Linked DNA regions of Caenorhabditis elegans. The protein of the gene in region 2 purifies or fractionates together with the protein of the main gene of each other region. This does not show direct contact. Each region holds a gene or a part of one and is shown on either strand. Other genes may lie near its edges.

Region 1 (7,875 bases), on a different chromosome or scaffold from region 2:
GTTGTGCTCTCTGTGGGCGTACGAGGAGACTCATGCACAGGTCGATCGAGCTGTGGAAGAGTTGATGAAGAGAATTTTGTAGATTTTGTAGATTTACTAGTTAATTGTGTATTATTATGAGACCACGAAATTTTAAAATTGCGTATTGAACAACATATTTGACGCGCAAAATATCTCGTAGCGAAAACTACAGTAATTCTTTAAATGGATACTGTAGCGTGCTAGTGTCGATTTACGGGATCTCCATTTTTCCTACAATTCTTTAGGTTCTTTAAGATTCCCGTAAATCGACACTAGCGCGCTACAGTATCCATTTAACGAATTACTGTAGTTTTCGCTACGAGATATTTTGCGCGTCAAATGTGTTGCGATGTACGCATTATCAGAATTTTGTATTACCTTAATATGTGCCTGTTTTTTGCCTGCCTACTGCCTACTTTGTCTGTGATTATCTCGATTTTAATTGTATCACTGGGTTTTTTTTTTGAAGTTTTCGGGAAAGGAATATATAAAAATTAATTTAAATGAGTATATAAAATGCAATTTTCACAGAAAAAACTCTAAATGACCTCGAAAATTTTCGAAAAAATTGAACATTTTCGTTACTTCAAATTTTTTTTTAGTTAGGAAAATCGTAAGATTGAAATTTTTGAATTTTTTTCGTTGAAAAATCGATAATTTTTGATTTTTCAAATTTTTTGTTTAATTTCAAAAATTCACGGATTTTTAGAAAAAAATTTCAAATCAACGACACAATGGCGCAGAAAATTTTAAAATTTTCGAAAAAAGGGATTTTAACTGAAATTTGGTTTTTTTTTTGAATTTTTTTGAATAGGGAAAATTGAAAATTTCTGGTTTTTTCAGATTTTTAGGAAAGTATTTTCATATTTGATTTTTGGTGAAATTTTTCGTTCTTTTAGTTTTTTTTTTCTAGAAAACCGAAAACATGCAATTTTTCGGAAAATGCTTCCAAATTTAATTAATTTTTTTTTGAAAATTTCAATTGATAGGTTGTTCCTATTTTCGGAAAAAAAATGTATAAACTAAAAATAATTTTTCAAAAAAAAAGCAATTTTCCAAGAAAATTTTTTTCCCGGAAAATCGTAGGATTGAAATTTTAGAATTTTTTTAAAACTCTCAAATTTTGGCCATTTTTCTTTTTAAACGACCCAATTGGCCCAGAAAATTAGAAAATTTCGAAAAAAGGGATTTTAATTGAAATTAGGCAATTTTTGTTCGAAATTTTTAAAATATCGCGATATCGTCGAAAAATTTGGCAAACATTTTTAAAGCTAATTTTCGAAAAATCCATGAAAACGAAAATTCACTAAATTTGATATTTTTGGGCGATTTTGAACATAGTTTTGGTAAAAATTGATCGGTTGCTCCTCTCGGAAAAATGTATAAACTAAAAATAATTTTTCAGAAAAAATTTAGATCAATCAATTATCTTCAGCTTCATCGTCATCATCGTCGTCGCTCTCCTCCTTCGTCTCACTACTTCCACCCTCAATATACTTCTCGTACTCTTTCCGACGCTTCTCCTCATCCTCTTCCGTCTCCTCGACCTTAAACTTTGTCCGGCCATCCCAGAGCTCGGCTGTCAATTTCCGACCGTCAACTACTCGTCCGTGAAGATATTTTACAGCCATATCCGATTCTTCTGTCGTTGGAAAGGTTACCGATACGACGCCGTCCGGGTGGTTCTGAAAATTGGGGAAATTTGATGGAAAAAGTCTATTTAAAAATTTTTGATTTAAATTTTAAGACAAAAATCTGCACTTTTTCAAAAAAATTTTTTTTTTTTAATTAGGAGCCTTTTTTTTTGGAAAATCAAAATTTTTCATTTTTAAATAAAAAATCAAAATATTTCGTTTTTTTTAATAAAAAATCAAAATTTTTCGTTTTTTTTAATAAAAAAAAATCAAAATATTTCGTTTTTTTTTTTAAATAAAAAAAGTGGAATTTTTCCGAAAACGCTACAGTAGACACTTAAAGAATTACTGTAGTTTTCACTACGAGATATTTTGCGCGTCAAATATGTTGTGCAATACGCATTCTCAGCATTTTGTGCACTCGTAATAGAAGAAATTTTGAATTTTTGATTTTTTACAACGAAAATCGACGAAACTGACAAAAAATCAGCAGTTTGTCAAAAAAAAAGCATTCTTGAAAAATAACTAGAAGCCTATTTTTTTTTTAATCGATTGTTTTTTCCGAAATATTCAAGCGAAAATCAAAAATTTTCGTTTTTTTTCAATAAAAATTTTTGAATTATTTCAATAAAAATTTTTGAATTAATGATTTTCAAATTTCAAAAAATGTCAAAAAAATCGGAAGTTAATCAAAATTCGATTTGTTTTTTGAAAAATACTCATAATTTTTTTTTGGAAATTTTAAAAATGTCTTTCAGAAGATTTTGAATTTTTTTAATCGAAAAAAAAAACCAACAATTTTCGATTTTCCGAAATTTTTTGTTGTTTTAATTCCGTAAATTAGCTAAAAATTGTTTTTTTTAATTTTTCGAAATCCATAGTTTTTATTTATTTATACATTTTGATGATTTTTTTTTGAAAATTGAAAAATCCAATAACTTTAAAAAATCCAATAACTTTTTTTTTAAATTTATCTTTTTTTGAACAATTTATTTTAAAAATCGATAAATGCATCAATTTTGGGGTTCTTTTTGAAAATTAGCTTTACTTTTTTTAAAATTAGCTAAAAATTGTTTTTTTTTTAAATTTCTCGAAAAAAAAAGCTGTAAAAAATTTTTGAAAGAACAATTTATAACCATTTCTCATTGTTTTTTTAAAATACTTTTTTTTCGAAAATCGAAATTTCCAAAAATTTTCGGTTTTTTCGAAAAATAGCCATTTTTTAATGTTAAAAATTTATTTTTTTTTAGAATAAATTTTTTTTGAAAATCGAAATTTCCACAAATTTTCGGTTTTTTTTCGAAAATTAGCTAAAAATTGTTTTTTTTTAATTTTTCGAAAAATAGCCATAATTTTTTTAATGTTAAAGGTTATCTTTTTTAGAACAATTTTTTTGAAAATTTGTTAAATCCAATAATTTTGGGTTTTTTTTCGAAAATTAGCTTTACATTTTTAAAAATTTTTCCGACAAATAGCTTCAAAAATTTTTGATCCCGTTTTTAGAATATTTTTTTATGAATATCGACATTTCTAAAAAAAAAAATTTTCGGTTTTTTTTCCAAAATTAGCTTCAATTTTTCGAAAATTAGCTTTAAATTTTTTAAATCTTTTTTTTTTAATTTATTTTTTTAGAATAAATTTTTTTTACAAAAATCGAAATTTCCACAAATTTCCTCAATACCAACCGCATAAACGACGACTTTCTTAACAATTCCATATTTCTGACAACTTTGTGTCATTTCCTCTTTCAAATCCAACATCAACGCCGCATTCTTGTTCATCATTTCCTGAGTGAACAGATTTTTGACAATAACCGTACAGTCCGACTTTGGACGGTAGTTACGTGGCTTATCGGGCGTCCATTCGAAGATTCTGGAAAGGAAAAATCAGAATTTTTGGTTGAAATTTGTAATTTTTGAGGGAAAAATTCGAGAAATTATTAAAAAATGGTAGAAAATAACTGAAAATATATTTTTTAGGAACCAAAACAACCAATTTTTTTCGATTTTCCTCGAATTTGAATTTCGTAGTGAAAAATCCGGACAGTTTACGATTTTTACACCAAAAATTAGGGTAATACGGTCGCCGGTCACGACACGACAAATTTTTTGTAAAATTCTAGAAGGTATGCGCCTTTAAATAGTACTGTAATTTCAAACTTTGTGGAATTTTCTTCGATTTTTCGTAGTTTATTTGAAAAATCAAAAAAAAATTCCATAAAGTTTGAAATTACAGTACTCTTTAAAGGCGCACACCTTTTTTAGAATTTAACAAAAAAATTGTCGTGTCGAGACCAGCTACCATATTACCCTTATTTTAGGTGTAAAAATTGTAAAATTTCGCAATTAAATAATATTTAAAAATTCCGGATTTTTCACGGAAAAATTTGAGTAAAATCGGCAAAAGTTGGCTTTTTGGTCCCTAAAAAATTGATTTTCAGTTAGTCTCTACGATTTTTAATAATTTTTCGAATTCTTCCCGCAAAAATTACACATTTTAGCCCAAAAAATTGTTGAATGAAAAAAATTTTTTTTGTCTTTTTTCGTAATTTTTAGTGTGAAAATTAAGAAAAATAAATGCTAAAATAAAATATTTTTTTTGCAAATTTAGGCAAAAATCGGGATTTTTCTACAAAATTCAATAGTTTTTTAGTCAATTTCATTTGATTTTGTGTCGTTAGTTTATCTTTTCTATGAAAAATGCAAGGAATTTGGCCTAAAATTCGCAATTTTCGAGTTAAATCTGGTATTTTTTGGGTGAAATCTGAAAATTCTAAGATTTTCAGCAGGTTTTCAAGTTAACAATTTTGTTGGGTTTCAATTTTTGTTTTTTTAAACCAAAAATCGAAATTTTTCTCTGAAATTTTGTGATTTTCAAAGCCATTTGTCATCAAATTCGGACAAAAATCCACGATTTGGGCCAATTTTTTCGTCGATATATTATGGGAACACAATATTCTGAGAATGCGTATTGCACAACATATTTGACGCGCAAAATATCTCGTAGCGAAAACTACTCTTTAAATGACTACTGTAGCGCTTGTGTCGATTTACGGGGGCTCGATTATTGAAATAAATTTTTTAGATTTTTTTGTATTATTTTCCTATTTTTTGCCCAATTTCAATATCACATAAATAAATTCTTTTAATTCATTTCGAAAATCGAGCAGCCCGTAAATCGACACAAGTGCTACAGTAGTCTTAGTTTTCGCTACGAGATATTTTGCGCGTCAAAAAAAAAAAAAATGTTGTGCAGTACGCATTCTCAGGATTTTGTGTTCCCGTAATACGATTTTTTTTGGTTTTTTTTCATTTTTTCAGCTTAATGTCGATTTACGAGCTATTTCAAATTTCACCAAATATTTTTTATTACTTATTCTGCTGCTCCATATATCGTTTTTTCTGCGCCGCAGTCAATTTCCGCCGCTTCCTCGCCGGATCAAAATCGCCCTTCATCTCAAATCGAGCTTCCTCAACCTTCACTTCCCGCCCGTTTAAGTTCGCTCCATCGAGAATGTTACAGGCAAGCTCGACAGATTCCTTCTTAATATAACAACATCTTCCGTCGCCTTTGAGTTTGCCGTTTTCCTCCCGGTAAAGCTTGCATTTCGGCTTATTCGTTCGAATATCCGGCTGAATAACTCCACATTTTGACATAAATTTCTGGAATTCCTCGTCTGTAATATCTTCCGGAAGATTTGACACATAAACCGCATGAACCTTATCTCCTAGGTCAAGCCAGCCCTCTTTAGCGTCTTCCCCGGCTCCCAAGCCAACTTTTTTCTTCCGCTTCTTCTCCTTCTTCTCTTCATCTTCTTTTTGAGCTTTTGCCGCTTTTTCTTGCAATTCTTCGTCCATTTTTTTATAAATATCATCATACTGAACCCCGTAATTCGCTTGATATTCTGCGATAAAATCCTCATTGACCTCCTCCTGCTTGGCCTTCGGCACCCATTCCTTCTTTTCTTCATCCCAATCATAGTGCCTATGAGCTTTTTTCTCCTGATCCTCCTGCTCAAACCACAGTTGGCTCAGAAATTCCACTTCGTCGAGGCCTACGGGCTCCCAGTCCTCGTCGATGTGCTCCAGAAGATCCCCATCTTCGCCGTACTTTCCGTACCATTTATTGTTGAGAAATCGTCGAGAAAAACCTAGAAAAAATGCAAAAAGTAATTGAAAATTGATAAAGTCAGCATTTTCCTCACTTTGGTCGATGATAATTGCTTGAGCTGGGATTTCATGGATTTCATCGATTTTTTGAGATTCTTCTTCATTTTCCTCGGTTTCTGGCACAAAATCCGACATTTTTAAGCCTGAAATTAAAGAAAATCAGCAACTTTAATAAATTCGAAAAAAAAATAAATTTCAAAATATGCGCTCGGTGTTTGCACACAATACACCAAACCTGACGCGCATTGTTTTTTTGTTTTTTTCCATCAATTGAAGACCAGAAAAATGATTTATTTTACACAAATATTGAAAATGTCTATGAGAATGGCAAATTTTAGCATCCAAAAAAAATCTAATTAAAAAAAAACTATGGAATGAGGGAGCTAATAAATGATGGCCGAATAAAAATAAATAATTGATTTTTCTCGGAAATGGGACAAGTTGAGATGCAATCGGGTGGGGATGAAATAGGTGGACAATATTTAACTATTTACAAAAAATTTTTGCCGAATTATAATTAGACGACTGCTGTTTCATACTCTAGACCATATTTTTCCATGTCATCTGTGTTGATTTTGAAGAGTCCTGGAAAAAAAACGGTGATTTTTACGAGTTAATTAGGGCCACGTGGTGTCAGAGTGTCACATTTCGGCCTGAATCACGTTGATCTACAAAAAATGCGGGAGAAGAGGAGACGCAGAGTTCTCAACTGATTTTGCATGGTTAAGAACGTGCTGACGTCACATTTTTTTGGGCGAAAAATTCCCGCGTTTTTGTAGGTCAAACTATAATGGGACAGCCTGGCACTACGTGTTAGAGTGTATTTGGTTCGCGACTTGATGCACCATATTTGACGCGAAAAGTTTGAAAATATATTGAAAATTTCAGAAATGTTCTGAAAAAAATTGCCAGTTTTTTACGCAATACTAATTCTCTGACTTTTTGTCCAAAATTAAAGTTTTGCGCGTCAAATATGGTGTTTTGTAACATGACCGATCGGCTACATCATATTTGACGCGCAAAACTTCCAAATTTGCTCGCAAAATATATTGTAGCCGATCGACCGCAATATGCACTGTATTTGACGTCCAAATTTATTTACGGCAACACAAAATTCTAAGAATGCGTACTGCGCAACATATTTGACGCGCAAAATATCAATATATCTCGTAGCGAAAACTACAGTAATTCTTTAAATGACTACTGTAGCGCTTTTGTCGATTTTTTTTTTCGGGCTCTATTTTTGAAATAATTTATTTTTAGATAGAATACACGTGGTGTCAAAGTGTCTCACTTCGGCGTGATCTACAAAAAATGCGGGAATTTATACGCAGATTTCTCAACAAATTTCGTATGGTTAGGGGCGTGCTGACGTCACATTTTTCTGGGCGAAAAATTCCCGCATTTTTTGTAGATCAAACCGTTATGGGACAGAATGACACACCGTGAGAATACTAAATAAAAATAAGCAAAAAATGAGAAAAAATGGAATATCGCTGTAACTTTTTTTTCGAGCCCGTAAATCGACATAAACGCTGCAGTAGTCATTTGAAAAATTACTGTAGTTTTCGCTACGAGATATTTTGCGCGTCAAATATGTTGCGCAACACGCATTCTTAAAAAGCACTATATTTAACGCGCATCACGGCCCGGGAAGTGGCACCTGTACGCAATTTGTTTACCGTATACCTGGGCTTTTTCTCAAAAACGGCTCGTCCAACATTTTTGTGATGCATATAAAAAATGTCCGAAATCAAATTCTAAATTTTTTGGACCAAGGCGTTTTCCTTAAAACGCGCCCAAACCTGGCTAAACTCAAATTATCAGTGGAGCGCATTTGTATGGATGTACCATTTGCCGGGCCGTGCGCAATTTGCACGAAAACTCACCATTATCACCCCAATGGTTACCAAAACTATTAACAGCCAACCAATAATGTGTTCCATCATCTGATTCTCCCCATCCGATCAATCGAACCACGTGCCAATACACAATTCGATCGTCGAAACCATCAGTTGGATACGGGCGGAACACTCCGCTCGAATAATGAA
Region 2 (4,809 bases):
CATTGATGAAACACTTTCGTTTCCGTCGAAAGTCTGAAAAATTTGATGAATATATGTTAGTCCTTGATTAAATGTGCTTACATGACTACTTTGCCTATCATTTTCTGGTGGAACCACATGCCATCCAGCTCTTTCTTCGCTTTTTCTCTCATAAGAATCAGCTCGTTTTCTCTCTTCTTTTAATGATTTTTGTAGCTCTTTCACAAGAGACATTGCTTTTTTCACTGCGAGCTTCTTGTCTTCTTCCGCTGATTTCAGCTTCTCCTCTAAACTCGTCATTTTCAAAAGGAAACATTCTTTATCCGACTCAAAACTCTTTTTAAGATCATCAACTTCCAATTGATAACGAGTTTCGAGAAGAAGTACTCGGTCTTCTAAAAGTTTTTCGTGGTTCTTTGCAGCTTCATTAGTGTTCTGTTGGATTTGAGACGAAAGACGATGATTTTCCGATTTTAAAACTTCGATCTTTTTTTTCAAACCTGATATTTCTTGTTGAGATATTTCAGTCAGCTTTAGTTTTTCTGATTGTAGAGCAGCAAGGTTTTTAGAAACGTCATGATTTAGTTGATTTTCAGAGACGAGTTTAAAATTCTCAGCTTTTAAACTGTCAATTTCAGATTTCTGACTCAACATTGTCTTTCTATATTCCAGATTATCATCAGAAAGCTTTTTATTTTCATCCATCACTGCATTGTTACTCTCCTTCATTTTTTCAGCAATCCCTTCATTTTCTCTGCGTAATTCTTCAATTTCTTTCCTAATTCGCAAATTTTCCTCGACAACCTTCTCCTTAATTTTAAGAATAGCTTCGGATTCTGAAGTTATTGAGAGTAAACGATCTTCAAGCTCGACGTTCAATGTCTGACAGTTTTCAAGTTCTTCACTGAGACTTGTAACTTTGTTGCTTATAGCAGGAATTGTTTCTGTAACCTTTTATACAATTAATTGTATTGAACAAAGTTGGAATAAAATTACCTTGACATAGCAAAACTTTTTCGTCTGTTAAATTTTTAATAGCTTCTTTTAATTGTTCCACTGTTTGCCTTTCTTCTGCTTCTTTTTCCAGAGGATGATCAGAATAAGACGACATTTGATTCTTTAATGTCTCATTTTGTGTGGATATCTGTAATTTGGACATTGAAAAGCTTGAATTTTAAATGTAAAGTTTACTGTCTTGAGCTCTTCAAAAAGGGTAGATTGTTGAAGGCGAAACTCTTGCTCTTGGGTCTCTAGTTTCCGCCGAAGCGACTCAATTTCTGCTTCATCTTTTTTCGAAGAAGATGCTCTGTTGATTAACTGAAAGATTTAAATTAATTATAATAAAAATAAACTTTTCCTCACCTTGCTAGCAAATTGCAATGCTTCATTTTTCGGAGAGTTTTGGTGTTGGGAAGCTGCTGCGTTCTTCTTTTTAATCTCCTCTCGTAACTCGTAATTTTCATTTTTCAGCTGCAAAAGTTGCTCTTGAACAAGAAGGAATTCCTCCTTCGACAAGCCACCCGACTCTGTCGCCATTCTGCAAAAAGTTTGCAACGTAAAATACATAAATTGGGTGTTTAGGAGCAAACGTTTAAAAAACGAACTATAAATCTACACAAGGCGGTTGGAAAAATCAAAGAAAACTTGATATTTCATGTTTTTGTCCAATTACTCTTATTGATGCATAACACAAAAACAAAAAAACATAAACAAAATGCAAAACAGGTCAGAACACACGCGACTTGACGGTAAAGTGCACAGATGGCCGTAGCCTTGAGTTGAATATTCTAGTCCACGGCCATCACGAGGACATTTTTTCCACAGGATTTTTTAGACTTTTAGCGGTTATTCAAACATTTATCGTTTAGTTTTCCATGCTTTTCGAAGATAGGCAGAAAAATCGATCAACGGTAAGAAAAGTATATGTTCGTACAATCATATAATCTATTTACAGGGTCCAACACTCATCGGATTCAATCAAACTCAAAATGAACATGAGAATACAGTATGCCCAACACATCCGGAGTCTTCGGATCGAATTTTGAAGATTAAAGAGGCATTAACAAAGACGAAAATACTCGAAAAATGCACTGTACTAACAAATTTTCTGGAGATCGACGATGCTGACTTGGAAGTAACCCACGATAAAAGCATGGTTAAAGATTTAATGGAATCTGAAAAGAAAACACAAGAAGATATTAATTCACAGTGCGAAAAATATGATTCCGTGTTTATGACAGAGGTATTAATTGGGTAAAAAGAAGCACAAAACGTTGAGAATAAAGTTTCAGAACTCGATGAAAGTTGCCAAAGATGGTGTCGCGTGTGTTCGAGATTTGACGAATAGAATCATGGCTAATGAAGCTTCGAATGGTTTTGCAGTCGTCAGGCCACCCGGACATCATGCAGATTCTGTATCGCCTTGTGGTTTCTGCTTATTCAATAATGTCGCCCAAGCCGCCGAAGAAGCATTTTTCAGTGGAGCCGAACGGATTTTGATTGTCGATTTGGATGTACACCACGGACACGGAACTCAGCGGATTTTTTATGATGATAAAAGGTTAAAAAGGATTTTATAGTGAAATAATAATTTTCTTCAATGAATTTCAGAGTACTATATTTCTCAATTCATCGCCACGAACATGGTCTCTTTTGGCCTCATCTTCCCGAATCAGATTTTGATCATATTGGATCAGGAAAGGGATTGGGATACAACGCAAATCTGGCTTTAAATGAAACTGGATGCACTGATTCTGATTATCTATCGATTATTTTCCATGTTCTACTTCCTCTTGCAACTCAGTTTGATCCACATTTTGTGATAATCTCTGCTGGATTCGACGCACTTCTCGGTGATCCTTTAGGTGGAATGTGTCTTACACCTGATGGTTATTCACATATTTTATATCATCTGAAATCACTTGCACAGGGAAGAATGTTGGTCGTATTGGAAGGAGGTTACAATCATCAAATCTCTGCAGTCGCTGTTCAAAGATGTGTGAGAGTACTGCTCGGATATGCTCCATTTTCAATTGAATTGAATGAAGCACCGAAAGAAAGTACGGTTGATTCATGTGTTAGCCTTGTTTCCGTTCTTCGACATCATTGGAACTGCTTCGACTATTTTCCGTCTCGGACTTCACTAAGATTGGCTCAGTGGCCGATGTACGTTGACTATTTGGGCTCAATTAGACCCGAAATCACCCCAAAACGGGCGAATTTCATTAGGAAAATTTCAAAGTTAAAAAAAAACCGAATTTCGCTAAATCTGCAGCAGGAATACGTATTTTATATTTTTAAAACTTTTAGAATGTATTTTTGTTGCAAAATCGTTGATTTAGACACATTTTAAGTCGATAAAGGCATCCAAAAATCACCGAAAACAGATCATCGAAAATTAATAAAAATACATACTTCCTGAAAAAAAAACATTGAACCTTCCAAATCTATTAATTTTCAGTGTGAACACAAAAGTAATCTACAACTACGATCCAACAACTCGTCGTGCCGACACTGGTGAGATTATTCAAGATGAACTTGCATCCACTGAGTTCACAGCTTCCGATGTGATACCCACTGAAAATATGGAAACATTGATTTATTTCAACGAAGGAGACGATGCTCATTTCGATTTAGAAGAGGACAATCATCCCGAGAAGCCGGCACGGACACGTCGAATTCTGAAGACACTGCGAGAATCTGGAGTACTGGAGAAGTGTGTGGATAGGAATTGTGAAAGGATTGCGACGAATGAGGAGATTCGATTAGTTCACACGAAGAAGATGCTGGAACATTTGAGGACGACTGAAACTATGAAGGATGAGGAATTGATGGAAGAGGCTGAAAAAGAATTCAATAGTATTTATTTAACAAGAGATACTCTGAAAGTTGCACGAAAAGCTGTCGGCGCAGTGTTACAGGTACCTTTTTTTAAAAGAAAATCTTTATTTTTTATCCCGTAAATTATAAACCGTACAATAGATGAAAATTATTCTAGTAAGATCATAAGATCCGAAATTCTAATTTCCCTTCTTCTTCTCTTGATCATCATTCTTGTCTCGAGTCATTGCAAATCTCGCTCGAAGTTTTTCGGTCAAAAATCCGTCAGAAGCAAGAAGTCTCAAGAACAACATTCCATTGATACAACCAAATATGATGGGTCCACCCAATCCGACAAGCACATAATACCAATGAAGACCAGGAACATTGTAAATTGCCCAGTTTGTCCAGAGAATTTGAGAGACGATACGGAAGAAGAAGAAGCTGATGATATTTGAGTAGACGACAACACGGAATACTCCAGGAAATTGGGTGGAAAGGCCACAGATTTGAAGAATTGTTCGGGCGTGAAGGAAGATGCTGAAAATTAGAAAATTGGTCAGGGGGTACTGTATATTATTCTGAAATTGGTGTAGAAACGCGCCCAGCGAATTTACAATATTATCGCGAAATACCTAACGAGACCCATATCTCTGGGGCGGAGCGTGTTTTCCACGATCAAATGGGAATCAAAGTTCTCACCTGTTGACCTCCATCAACAAAGCCCATCCGGCTGCCAGTGTGAACTTTCCAGTCAGCCCGGGAGCCACCAATGCGGCACACGTTGCAAAATGATGAAGCAGCAGCTCCAATGTATAGCTATTCCATTCATACATCAGCATGTCAAAGGCGTCTTGAAAGAAATAGGCGACCGAGATCAATGGGAGCTGAGCGGCAATGGGATTGTACCAGTCGATGACGTCATGAAAGATCTCATGAGGATGACTGAACATCAGAATCAGATCACCACCTCCAACAATGACAGCGTGCAGCCAGCAGACTGTGAGGTTT
Region 3 (3,680 bases), on a different chromosome or scaffold from region 2:
GGTAGGGGTGATTTTATACGGATATTTGGATATTGTTAAAGGATGAAATCTGAACTTATGCTTTACATTTTTTTAATTAAAAAATACTCACAGTGAGGGTCGAACCCCCTAACTTTGTGTACAAGAAAACTCCCACTGCGCCGTTTGGGAAATTAAAAAAAAAAAAACTTTAAGAACCTCGAACATAAATTACAGAGTTTCATTTCGAAATTTTCAAAAAAATTACCAAAAGCTTAAAACTTTTTTCCAGAACCAACTTCCCCGAGCCATCAGTTTCAACGAGCTTCAAGTAGTGTATCAAAATGAGATGACTGTAATTTATCAATTCCTTTGCGAAGCATTTCCCGAGTACTCTGAGCTCCTTCCAGACACAAAACGATCGCTTTTTAAGAATTTTTTCCTACCATTCACACTTTTGGAGAGCTCATATTATGGATATTTGACGAGTAAGTTCCACTTTTTAGATAAAAATTAAAATTAAATCAAAAACTGAAATTTCAGAGCAAGAAAATGTGATGCTCATTCCTTCGGGCGACTACGTTGATTTGGCTCATCTAGAGTCATATTTCAACAATAATCATCACACGTTTTCTCAAAAAGACACTATTTCGATGTTTGCTCAGCAATTTCGAATGCTCCACACTTCTATAACTGTTCCGTTGAGTGCTGAAAATGTAGATGTTAATGAGTTTCTAGCTCTAGCGGCTATAATTCTCTGGGAATCCGATTTAGAAGTAGAAGCCGATCGGAAGAATGTTCAAGAGGAAGCTGTGAAGATTAAGAGCGCTATTATCAAGGATCTACTTTTTCACTATCAATCTATAAATGTATACGCTGACGTGGCAATGAGGCTTGGCGCTGTTTTGTCCATACTTCCTTCAATTCAGGTTTGCTGCTCGCGGAGCAACAATTTTTTGATTATAAGCTCAAAAGTTGTTTCAGAGAGCCAGTCACCGTTTCCACGAGTATATGGAAATCAAAAATCTGCTCAATTTGTATGCTCTGCCCAAGAATCTCTACGACATGTTCTCGCCAACTTCCTGAATTTTAATGTTTTTTTTAAATTTATTTTCTTAGTGTACAATAAACAAGTATTATTTTTATTTGTCTATAAAATTAAAACTTTTGTTAGAATTGTCCTGAAAAGCAGAAGTGGGGAATAAGAAGAAGAAATGTGCCGAATAAATGTACCGAACAATGCGACTTTGCAGTTGAGCAACTTTTTGAAATTTTTAATCAAAAGTAATGCTATTTTCAGAAAAAATAACTTTGGCAAATCCATAAGAAGGAGAGGATTTCGCAAATTCTGTTAATGCGCTCTGGTGGAGCATGCTCAGTTTAAAAAAAAGAGTATAATTTCGGAAAGCTGTGCAAACACGCCATGCAATTTTATAATTTTCAATAGGCACACGAGGTATAAAAGCATGCCACAACCATTGTTTTTCAAGAGTTTGTTGAGTTCTGAAATAACATCAGATTAAGCTGGAGTCCGATTTGCCTTTATGACTAATGAGCCTCGTGAATATATAATATATTGTCTCGTTAGCTCTCAGAGTGTTTGATCATATTCAAAACGTGTGTAATGAGTTCTATTTGGCAGACACATCACACAACAAATCTACCTCCAACTTTTTGATCTTACAAACTTATTTCTGCTTTTTTTAGTCTCTATATAGTCTAATCCAAGGGATTTTGTGAAGCTCAAAAATTCAAAAATCTCAGAATATTGTTATTCTTGTTTTTTTTAAATCCATTTGAAAACAGGTGCAGTTGCAGATGATAATTAATTATTCATTTATTTCAGAAACATGTTCACCCTAGCTCGTGTGTTGAACAATATTGGAAGCGCTTCATCCAATGAACCGATTCCATATTGTTTGATTTGTAGTGAGGTTGCTGATGGGAATCATTTTGGAGTAGCTGCAGCGTGTAGGTGAGTAACTTTTTCAAAAATTTTGAAATTCGTGAAATTTTCAGAGCTTGCGCTGCATTTTTCCGCCGCACAGTCCAACACAATAAGATCCACGAGTGTGGGAGAAATGGGCAATGCTTTTTCCTATCATGCAAGTTTTTATTGGTCGGGTTTCAAATATCACCACTAAGTTCAGACGCACGGAGCATGTGTAAAGCCTGCAGGTACGGTAAGTGCCTTGAAATGGGAATGCAACGATCATCGGTGCAACAGAGACGTGAACAACTCGGGAAACGTCTGAATATCTCTGATGATCGTGGAAAGCCAGTGCTTAATAAGTTGCGAAGAGCGTACGAAATGTTAATTTTAAACAGGAAACACGTGCATAATAGGCGGGAGGTAAGGACTGTTTAATTGTTCATATGAAATACTGATACCTGATCAGTGAACCATTTCAGAACCAAGCACCCCGAGCCATCGGCTTTAACGAGCTTCCAATCGTGTTTCAAAACGAGTCGACAAGCATATATCAGTTCCTCTGGGAAGCATTTCCCGAGTACTCCATGCTTCTTCCAGACACAAAACTCGCATTTTTCAAAAATTTCTTCTTGTCGTTCTGTCTATTTGAGAGCTCGTTTAATGGATGTTCAGCAAGTATGTTTTTTTTTCAGCCATAATTTTTTCATTCCATATCTAAATTTTCAGAGCAAAAAAATGTGATGCTCATTCCATCCGGTGACTACATCGATTTGGCTCATTCTGAATCGTTTTTCACCAACGATCATCAAACTTTCACTGAAAGAGACAATATTGAAATACTCGCTCAAAGGCTAAAATTAATACAATCATCTATAACTGTTCCGTTGAGTGCTGAAAATGTAGATATCTATGAGTTCCTCGCGCTTGCGGGTATCATTCTCTTGGAATCGGATTCTGAGTCAGAAGCCGATTTTCAAGAAGAAGCTGTGAAGATTAAGAGCAATATCATCAAGGATCTACTTTTTCACTATCAATGTATAAATATTTATGATGACGCAGCAATGAGGCTTGGCGCAGTTTTGTCCATACTTCCATCAATTCAAGTTTGTTGCTCGCGGAGCAACAATTTTTTGATTATAAACTCTAAAGATGTTTCAGAGAGCCAGTCACCGTTTTCACGAATACATGGAAATCAAAAATATGCTCAATTTGTACGCTCTTCCCAAGAATCTTTACGACATGTTCTCGCCAACTTCATAAAATTTATTTGTAAATTTGTTTCTATTTGATTTTTTTTAAATAGTTATACTGTAAATTTTTGATTCCAGTAGTATTAATAAAAATGTACAAAACTTTGGCAGCCACTTTTGCCGAGTACCTCAGAGCGCATTTGCAATTTCTATAACTGTTTTTTTTAGTTTGATCTACGAAAATGCGCTGATAATCTCTAGCTGTAAATTAACTATTATTTTTAATAATACATCAATAGTACCACGCCGTTGGCTAGACCGGAAATTAAAATGCACAGTTTTTCATATTTCCTTCAGATTTTTTTCATCACCATGATATTGTCTCATCAAGCTGTAAGTTACTCAGAAAACATTCTAAAATTTCCCAATGTATCAGCAATTTGTCGTCTCCGCAATCACCTTTATTGTGAGTTTTTGTAAAACGTAGTTGATAGAAGGTACTGTAAACTGCTCCAATTTCAGGTATCATTAATAGGTATCCTCTCAAATATAGTTTTAGTCCTTGCAATCCGTAAAACGTACTCCATGAATGGCTCTTT

Evidence for each region. Proteins that work in one complex are often made in the same cells at the same time.
Region 1: the proteins of hda-6 (region 2) and cus-2 fractionate together in Caenorhabditis elegans (co-fractionation; one large-scale study listed by BioGRID). This does not show direct contact.
Region 3: the proteins of hda-6 (region 2) and nhr-199 fractionate together in Caenorhabditis elegans (co-fractionation; one large-scale study listed by BioGRID). This does not show direct contact.

What each region holds. Positions count from the first base shown.
Region 1 is NC_003279.8:652,212-660,086, reverse strand, and holds cus-2 (17S U2 SnRNP complex component HTATSF1), read right to left. Parts: upstream 5,998-7,875; 5' UTR 5,960-5,997; coding exon 5,860-5,959; intron 5,806-5,859; coding exon 5,028-5,805; intron 3,528-5,027; coding exon 3,341-3,527; intron 1,707-3,340; coding exon 1,443-1,706; 3' UTR 501-1,442; downstream 1-500. Other genes in the region: Y65B4A.8 (Cytidyltransferase-like domain-containing protein), read left to right, coding at 1-82; Y65B4A.2 (Peptidase C1A papain C-terminal domain-containing protein), read right to left, coding at 6,342-6,409, 7,714-7,875.
Region 2 is NC_003282.8:5,361,266-5,366,074, reverse strand, and holds the start of hda-6 (histone deacetylase), read left to right. Parts: upstream 1-1,791; 5' UTR 1,792-1,853; coding exon 1,854-1,889; intron 1,890-1,933; coding exon 1,934-2,221; intron 2,222-2,264; coding exon 2,265-2,539; intron 2,540-2,589; coding exon 2,590-3,144; intron 3,145-3,439; coding exon 3,440-3,899; intron 3,900-3,916; exon of another isoform or gene 3,917-3,998; coding exon of another isoform or gene 3,999-4,338; intron 4,339-4,500; coding exon of another isoform or gene 4,501-4,809. Other genes in the region: F41H10.4 (GRIP domain-containing protein), read right to left, coding at 1-33, 82-923, 976-1,123, 1,171-1,296, 1,342-1,515; F41H10.5 (TLC domain-containing protein), read right to left, coding at 3,999-4,338, 4,501-4,809. UniProt on the Caenorhabditis elegans protein: Probable histone deacetylase. Histone deacetylases are responsible for the deacetylation of lysine residues on the N-terminal part of the core histones (H2A, H2B, H3 and H4).
Region 3 is NC_003283.11:15,698,028-15,701,707, reverse strand, and holds nhr-199 (Nuclear hormone receptor family member nhr-199), read left to right. Parts: upstream 1-1,808; coding exon 1,809-1,933; intron 1,934-1,977; coding exon 1,978-2,311; intron 2,312-2,370; coding exon 2,371-2,566; intron 2,567-2,617; coding exon 2,618-3,180; downstream 3,181-3,680. Other genes in the region: Nuclear hormone receptor family member nhr-53, read left to right, coding at 1-1, 251-446, 502-887, 943-1,044; srx-29 (7TM GPCR serpentine receptor class x (Srx) domain-containing protein), read left to right, coding at 3,509-3,547, 3,604-3,680. UniProt on the Caenorhabditis elegans protein: Orphan nuclear receptor.